2 linked regions of the Danio rerio genome follow. The protein of the gene in region 1 purifies or fractionates together with the protein of each later gene. This does not show direct contact. Links are inferred from orthologs where the notes say so. Each region holds a gene or a part of one and is shown on either strand. Other genes may lie near its edges. The genes, in order: ankrd28b and ppp6c.

What was found.
Region 2: the proteins of ankrd28b (region 1) and ppp6c purify together in Homo sapiens (affinity purification with mass spectrometry; 9 studies listed by BioGRID and IntAct, with this or other methods). This does not show direct contact. The link is inferred for Danio rerio from reciprocal best matches to the Homo sapiens genes ANKRD28 and PPP6C.

Annotation. Positions count from the first base shown.
Region 1 is NC_133191.1:21,476,958-21,480,788, reverse strand, and holds part of ankrd28b (serine/threonine-protein phosphatase 6 regulatory ankyrin repeat subunit A), read right to left. Parts: intron 2,556-3,831; coding exon 2,477-2,555; intron 2,387-2,476; coding exon 2,272-2,386; intron 1-2,271. UniProt on the Homo sapiens protein: Regulatory subunit of protein phosphatase 6 (PP6) that may be involved in the recognition of phosphoprotein substrates. Involved in the PP6-mediated dephosphorylation of NFKBIE opposing its degradation in response to TNF-alpha.
Region 2 is NC_133180.1:32,597,007-32,601,388, forward strand, and holds the start of ppp6c (serine/threonine-protein phosphatase 6 catalytic subunit), read left to right. Parts: upstream 1-1,442; 5' UTR 1,443-1,519; coding exon 1,520-1,594; intron 1,595-2,312; coding exon 2,313-2,408; intron 2,409-2,518; coding exon 2,519-2,584; intron 2,585-2,696; coding exon 2,697-2,838; intron 2,839-2,922; coding exon 2,923-3,002; intron 3,003-4,382.

The sequences.
Region 1 (3,831 bases):
TTTTTACAAGAGAAATGTTAAAGGTCTACAAGTCTTTTATGCCTACAATTTTGTTCTATGTGGTTATGTGCAAGAAATAATGTTCCATGACTCCAAGATTCAAAACTTTGTAGTGCTAAAAACCGAGGTTCTGCCTAGCCAAAGACAAGGAAAGAAGATGGAACTGTACAAGGCCTGGGTAATCATCAACAAGAAAACAACTGCATTCTGACATAAAACTGCACCTGTACAGCAGGGTATGTGAACCTACATTTTTACATTTCATTCTAAGCATTCTGTGTCCGCAGTTTAATTAACAATATTTTAATGTTTTTGCTGAAATCATTGCTGCAATCAAAAACGAGATAGGTGTATGATTCAGCATAGCGTAAACTTACCTGATATAAAATAAGAACTGCAAAGTCGAGCATTTTTAATTAGGTCTTATGATGGCTGTTAGCCAAAGACGACTGCGGTTGGCATTAAAAGCAGTGTGGTGTACGGTAAAATTTAAGTTTTCTATTTTTGGACTTTCAATTTTGGCATCCTACTGCACAACACGACATGTTTGTTATAGCAACCAGTCTTTTTTTGCAACCGGTATATGGGGTAGAATCCGTGTGACGTAGGTTGGTAATTCCCCTATAAATTCTTTCCAAATAGAGTCAACTTGTGAAATTATATTTGAAAAATTAATCGCAACACATTGTGGCGAGCTGAAAGCGGTCACTTAATGTCCACATAGGACGTGATGTATTTTAAAAAACCCCTCTCTATCATGGGAAATGGATAAAAGAAGGAAGTGTTTGTTCACCAAGAAGAGAGTATGCGGAGCTTCGGCTAGAAGCTCAGGCAATGATGGCTCAGGCTGAAAGGAATCGTCTGGCTGAGAGACAATGTGTTTGTTTGGTTAACTCCTGTAACCTTCGGACTGGTGAGCTGATCTAACTTTAATTTGTGACTAAAACAGACGACGATGCAGTACGTCTACGGCACTACGGCAACTTAACTATTTCTCTTCATGTATGGTTTATGAGGGAATGAGCAAAAGCGTACTCTCGAGTGAAACATCAAACTGTTTGAACGAACTGTGAGCATCTGAGTTACGAGAACCGAATGAATCGTTGAATTTTTTGAACGAACTGTGAGCATCTGAGTTAAAGAAACCGAGTGAATCATTGAACCGTTTGACGAACTGTGAGCATCTGAGTTACTGAAACAGAGCGAATTATTGAACTGTTTGATGAACTGTGAGCATCTCGGTTAGAACTGAATGAATCATTGAGCGATTTAAACGAAATGTGAGCATCTGAGTTATTGAAACCGAGTGAATCATTGAACTGTTTGACGAACTCTGAGCATCTCAGTTAGAATTGAATGAATCATTGAGCGGTTTAAACGAACTGTGAGCATCTGAGTTATTGAATCCGAGTGAATCATTAAACTGTTTGACGAACTCTGAGCATCTTAGTTAGAACTGAATGAATCATTGAACTGTTTAAACAAACTGAGCATCTTGATTACTATAACTGAATGAATCATTGAATTGTTTAAACCAAGTGAATCGTTGAATTGTTTGACCCGAGTGAATCATTGAAATGTTGAACCGACTGAATCATTGAACTGTTTGAATTGTTTATATTGAATTTCTGTATAACAGTAATGAATGTAAGGTTCTAACAAATTGATGTGAATCAGTGGTTTAATCTTGTGCATGGATCAAGTTAATTTCAAGTCGACAGAGGTACCTCTTTATTTGGTTTATTATTATTATTATTTTGTTTTGTGCATTTGATTTGTTGAATTATTCAAATGCTTGTTGAAATGGGTTTGAAATTTTTTCTGTTGTAAAACATGTATATAGTGTTATTTTGAGGTTGTAAGGAGACCTAATTGAATATTAGTAGAATGCAATTTAAACTGGTTTAGTCTGATTTATTTTGTCTTTAGCTCTATAAGGGGTTACTAGGGTTATTGCACTGCTTCTGTATCCCATGTAGCACTGACTTTATAAATATTATTTTTTATTTTTTACTTATAAATATATGAGTTGGCACCCCTACCCAGTCAGATCGCTACAACATTTAGCAGTAAAACTAAATATAGCACTGTCAGTTTTTTTCCAATATCATGCAGCCCTAATGCATCATCAATTACAACATTCTTAGATTTTCAAAAAGGGTTAAATAGTGAATTTATTCTACACCCGCCTGTCTACAGTTAGTAAATGTTGAATTAAACAAAGCTACCAAGTTAAGTAGTTATCAAGCAGAGAGCAATGTAAATTCATACTTGGCCGTATCAGCTCCATTTGTGATCAGTGTGTTGATGAGAAGCTCATGTCCGTATCGGGCTGCGATGTGCAGAGGAGTGTTCCCATTCTTATCTTCACAGTCTATCTCAGCACCTACACATATAGCACACAGCCAAGCAAGATGTAGTCAGATACTGCACACTTGCACATTGATAAATGTACACTGTAAAACTGAAGACTTACCGTTTTGAATAATGGCCTGAGATCTTGAGAACCTCCCGTGGATTGCAGTCATATGTAGGGGAGTTTTACCATCCTTACTCTGGATGAAGAGAAAATAGTGTTCAATTAGTGAGATAAATACTAGGGATGGTCTGACGGATCGGCATCGGCCGATAATCACATTTTAGAACTCAATTGGTACTCGCTAATCTGGCCGATCACATGAACCGATTGCAAATGTCCGTTTACAACCAGCAAAGGAAAATGCATTTTAATTTCTTATGTATCAAATATGCATTCCAAACTTTTTCAATGTGCAAGTTGAACCACAATTATTCTTCCATCATTTGCAATTTTTCCAAATTGCATTGTTAGTCATTTTTCTTACTTTTTTACATCTGTTCTATCTATTATTTTCTATAAAGCTACTTCTGACCATGATATGTCCACACTAGGCATGGGCCGGTATAAGATTATGATGGTATGATAACCTTGGATAAAAATATTATGGTTTAACGGTATTGTGATTACTGCTCTAAAATATATTCTTTTTAAATGTCTGGGTTAAAAATAAAACATTTTCCCCTTTAAAAAGCATATATTTTATTTTTTGAAAGATTTATAATATTTTGGAACAGTAAACATGGCCGGCTAAATAATTCAAATGAACACTGATTTCCTTGCTACAATAATCAATTTATCGAATTATCACACAAGACATGGAAATTACCTCAATCATTTTTGGTGAAGCAATATACTAATAGTAGGGACAGTGTCAGTATGGTTTAAAAAAAGAAAAAAAAAAAAAACACTATAGGATCTACAATAAATTACTATAGTAAATTTTACTATAGTAAAAAAGATACCGCAGGCTCTGTTACATTTTACCTTGCAATTTTTTGTTAACATTTATTATTATTTATTAAGAACATACATTTTGACATTCTGACTCCAATGTCTAATTATTACATTATTACTATAGTTAAATGAAATATTCTTAAGAATAAAATGTGTACTTTGGAAGAGTGACCTTGCATTATAATGATGTAATATTGTCATTTTGGCGTTATATGAGTGGCATAAAATAGTCTTAAAATGACAATAATATCATTTAATCGCTAAATATTTTAGTGCAATATATATCGTTCAACAAAAAATGGATATCGTAATAGGCCTTAATGTATCAAAATAGTTATTAGGTGCATTTCTTTTATTAACAGCACATGTTTTATAGTAATTGGAGCAATGTAAAACAAGCACACGGCTGTCAAACAAGCTTAAAATGTGCTGATGTGCAGAGAGCATTTTGTGATTAAATAGGTACATCTCTAAATTAGTCAGAGCAGCAGAATCTCAATTTAGTAGAATATACATTT
Region 2 (4,382 bases), on another chromosome or scaffold:
ATGAAAAGGACTAATATTTCTTATCAAATGGAATTGAGTTTGTCTTTGAGCTTGCTAAACTGTGCACTTTTCTGATGGACAAAATGTATGTTAATTGTTGCTTTAAAGCGGAACTTTTTTTAAAAAAAATTGTCCAAATGAAGTGCTGTAGCCTACTTGTTAATCTCATACATTGGGTATCATGACAGAAAAACTTATACTGTGCTCATTTTTGTATTTGTATTTTGTTTTATCTCCCATACTGCCAAAACCTGACAACATGCAACATGCCAGCTTCATTGCATTGACAAACATACACGTAAGCTGGTTATGCCCAGAACACATGAGAAAAAACAATGTATTTACATAATTTGAATAAAGTTTCAAATATAAAATGCCATTTAATATGAGATACAGAACATATGTAATATTTGTAAGCTGTAATATGATATATGTTTGATAGTAATTCCTGGACAGCCAGTTGTTGTCATGCTTTATCTGAACAATCCATTGAAATTTGTTTGGCTGTTGTCTTAAAATGCAGCAGAAATATATGTAACTTAATGAAATCAAGACGGTAGACTCATTTTTATAATAATGTATTGTACTTTTTTAATTTGTGATGTCTTTTTTCTCTTGGTAATTCAGTTCATCTATTGTATAAACTATTTGCAGTGGTCATCACTTGGTGGACGGTTCCTGATGTTTCCAACTAAAGCATACAAATAAAAGCAATGTAATAAAAGTAATGTATGAAATCATTTTTTTATTAATTCATTTTTTTATTGCAATAACAACAGGCAATTTTAAAAGACTGAAATACAATCAGATAGAAGTATAGCACAAATAATATAAATATTTTTTCAACAAGAGAAAAGGGACAATTTTAAAGAAATATAGTAAACGTAAAGCAAAAGAAAGACAAAGAAGAAACAAAAATAGATGAGAGGGCACATGAAAAAAATAGACAAATTAATGCAGGATATCAAATAAAGCACATATTTTATAAGTTTTAACTGCTTTCTTGTTATGAGAGTCTGTAGTGGTTTTCAAGTGCAGTTGTTATTCTCATTTGGCTTACATTGAGTATATTTACATTTATGAATAAAAAAAACTTTATAATAAATAATATGAGGTTTACAAAAAGTTGAAATAGTTTTTTCTTTAATATAAAACCCCAAAATGACATGTAAAAAGAAAAGAAAATTCACCACACACCTTTTGGAGAGAAGGCTACGCGTCAAGCAAACCTCTGTTGCCACCTCGTGGTCAGTCAGTAACTTGAGAATGTTTTTATAATAAGCCGAATGGAAGCAACCGCAATTGAATCACTTTAAAAAAAACTTTTTTTAATAAGCAGGCTCTTGCTAAATTAGTTTTTCAAGTTTACTTTGAGAACGCGATGAACAGAATGTAACGACTTTGCAAGTTCCATATAAAATCTGGCCTGCGATTGGCTGATCATCTTGTCAATCATCACCACTCTGTGTGACGTAGAAAGACTTCCTCTTCGCGTCTTCCATCGACTGTTGTTCTTAAAATGGCGCCGTTGGACCTGGATAAGTATGTTGAAATTGCGAGGCAGTGCAAATATCTACCAGAGAACGACTTAAAGGTGATTGATCTGAGTAATTTTATGTTTCTCTTAGAATATTGGACATGCTAGCGATTGATGTATTTATAAACTCGTGTTGGTTGTGGCGGAAGGTGTTAAAATAGCAGTGTGTCAGTGCAATGCAGTCGCTGCGTATGAGTCCAGTCTATTATCTTATGTTCCGGGATTGATTTCATTCGTATTTTCAGAAATAATCGTATATAACGTTACGACCGTAAGGACAGTTGGGCATAACAAAGTTGTGTAAGGGACTATTTTCTTGCGGACACATAGGGTGGCTAACTTCTGTTGCTATCATGCGAACTAGTTTGAAACGCCCATTTTATGCTTTCCATCATCAACCTTGTTAAATCTTAATTCATGACATCTGCGTCTTTGTTAGCAGGTTTCAGGTTTGATTAAATCGTCCTCCATTCGTTTGTTTTTAAATATAATTCTTGTACGTAAACAACTGGGCTTCTGGATCAGTTCATAATGATGCAATGCAACGTCTTACCAGTTTCATCCAGTACCGCCAAATATGACACAAAAATAGCAACAGTGATCAAACAAATGATTATACGATGTTGAAATAATGTGGCTTAGGAAAAAAAGCTCATTTTTAAATTAATAAATGTGACCTTAGATGCGCCGCTAGATCTGCTTCTGTCACCATCGTTGATAGCATTCACTTGACAAACTTGTTCAAATCTTGTCTTCATTTCTATTGCTTTGACAGAGATTATGTGACTATGTATGTGACCTTCTGCTTGAGGAATCAAATGTACAGCCAGTATCCACTCCAGTCACTGTATGCGGGGACATTCATGGACAGGTGTGTGTGCAGGCTCCATTAATGCATCCCTGGTATTGATGTTGAGCTGATGTCGTGTTTTTGTAAAAACATGCATACTGACTAAGCTTTTTTTTTTCTTTTATAAATAGTTTTATGACCTATGTGAACTCTTTAGAACTGGGGGCCAAGTACCAGATACAAACTACATTTTCATGGTGAAGTATATTACAACAATAATTTTAATTGATGATTTGTGATTAGTACTGCGTTGGAAATTGTTCCACCATCATCTATTGAGGAGACATTGGTATGTTTTCTTTCATCCAGGGTGACTTTGTTGACCGAGGATATTACAGCTTAGAAACATTCACATATTTGCTAGCACTTAAAGCAAAGTGGCCTGACCGCATCACACTGTTGCGTGGCAATCACGAGAGTAGGCAGATTACACAGGTCTATGGCTTTTATGGTAAGGCTGCAGAAATCAGAGATTTTGAAATATTTTGTTTTGAATTTACTTGGGATTTTAATTGTTTTGGCTTTCTGTCTACAGATGAGTGCCAAACTAAATATGGAAATGCTAATGCCTGGCGATACTGCACTAAAGTATTCGACATGCTCACTGTTGCTGCCGTAAGTGTTGATTTTGGAATACCTATCTGTCTGTCTATCTGTCTGTCTGTCTATCTATCAATCACACATCTCAACATTATCAATATTTGTTTTGGTCTTCTTACTAATGGGCCTCACTCAGGAAACACATGTTTTTGTTTAAATCAAATAATTTTAGGATGTTTTTGTTTAAATCAAATAATTTTTGGATTAATGAAACTGTTTATATTTCTAAGTATGAATTGGTATAAAAGAAATGTAGGAAACTATACATCCAGTTATTGTCTTGCGCTTATCCGGAGCTAGGTCATTGGGGCAGCAGTCTCAGGAGAGAACCTCATACTTCCCTCTCTCTGGGCACTTTCTCTAGTTCCACTGGGGGATCTTAAGGTATTCCCAGGCAAGCGAGTGACAGTTCCTTTAGCGAGTCATTGGTCTTCCCCTTAGCCTCCTCCTGGTGGGACAAGTCCAGAACAGTTCTAGGAAGCATTCAAAATAGATGTCTTGGCCACGTCTCTCCATGTGGAGTAGCGACTCTACACTGAGTCCCTCCTAAGTGATAGAGCTCCCTCACTCCATCTATAAGGGTACCCCCTGCCTCTCTGCGGAGGAAGTTAATTTCGACCACTTGCACCCAAGATCTTGAATTTATAGTCATGACTATAGGGCTGTGTCCGAAATCGCATATTTCCCTATTATATACTATGTGGAAAATCAACATGTAAGTGGAGCAGTTTGTCTTAATTCATATTATTTGGAAAAAACAGTATACGAGAAGTACTTGGAACACCTCTTGCTTCCAGTGAGATTGTGAAGTGTGCATCCGATAACCTCTACACTATCCTATGCGCGCTGTTTGTGTTGCTCTGTAATAACTCTTTCGAAACGCTAGCTGGCAGTGAGGTTTTTATGTTCCTCTGTGTCGAGTTTCTTCACTGTTTTTTTTTTTTTCGCTACCTCAATGTAGAACAGGGGTCTCAAACTCAATTTACCTGGGGGCCGCAGGAGGCAAAGTCTGGGTGAGGCTGGCCCGCATAAGGGATTTCACAAAAAAAAGTCCTCAAATGTCATTATTAACAGTTTTAATTATTTCTTCTGAACATGAAGTGTCCTGAACATTAATAGAACATTGAGTGAAGATTATGAACAGTTCTTCTGAACATGGCATCTTTTGCCTACTCCTTGCTGCCAGAGACTTGACAGCGCTTCTTCTCACAAATCTGAACCACATTTGGCTTTAGAGCGGAAGCAGTTGAGACCCTCAGTATGGCTTGGGGGAACTCACTCAAAACTTCCATTCCCTCACCTAAAAAAAAGGCGTATATGTATAAATAAAACACCCCCACCCCACTCCAGTCACATCAGTCTGTACCAGTCTGTATCTACCTATAATATATATAA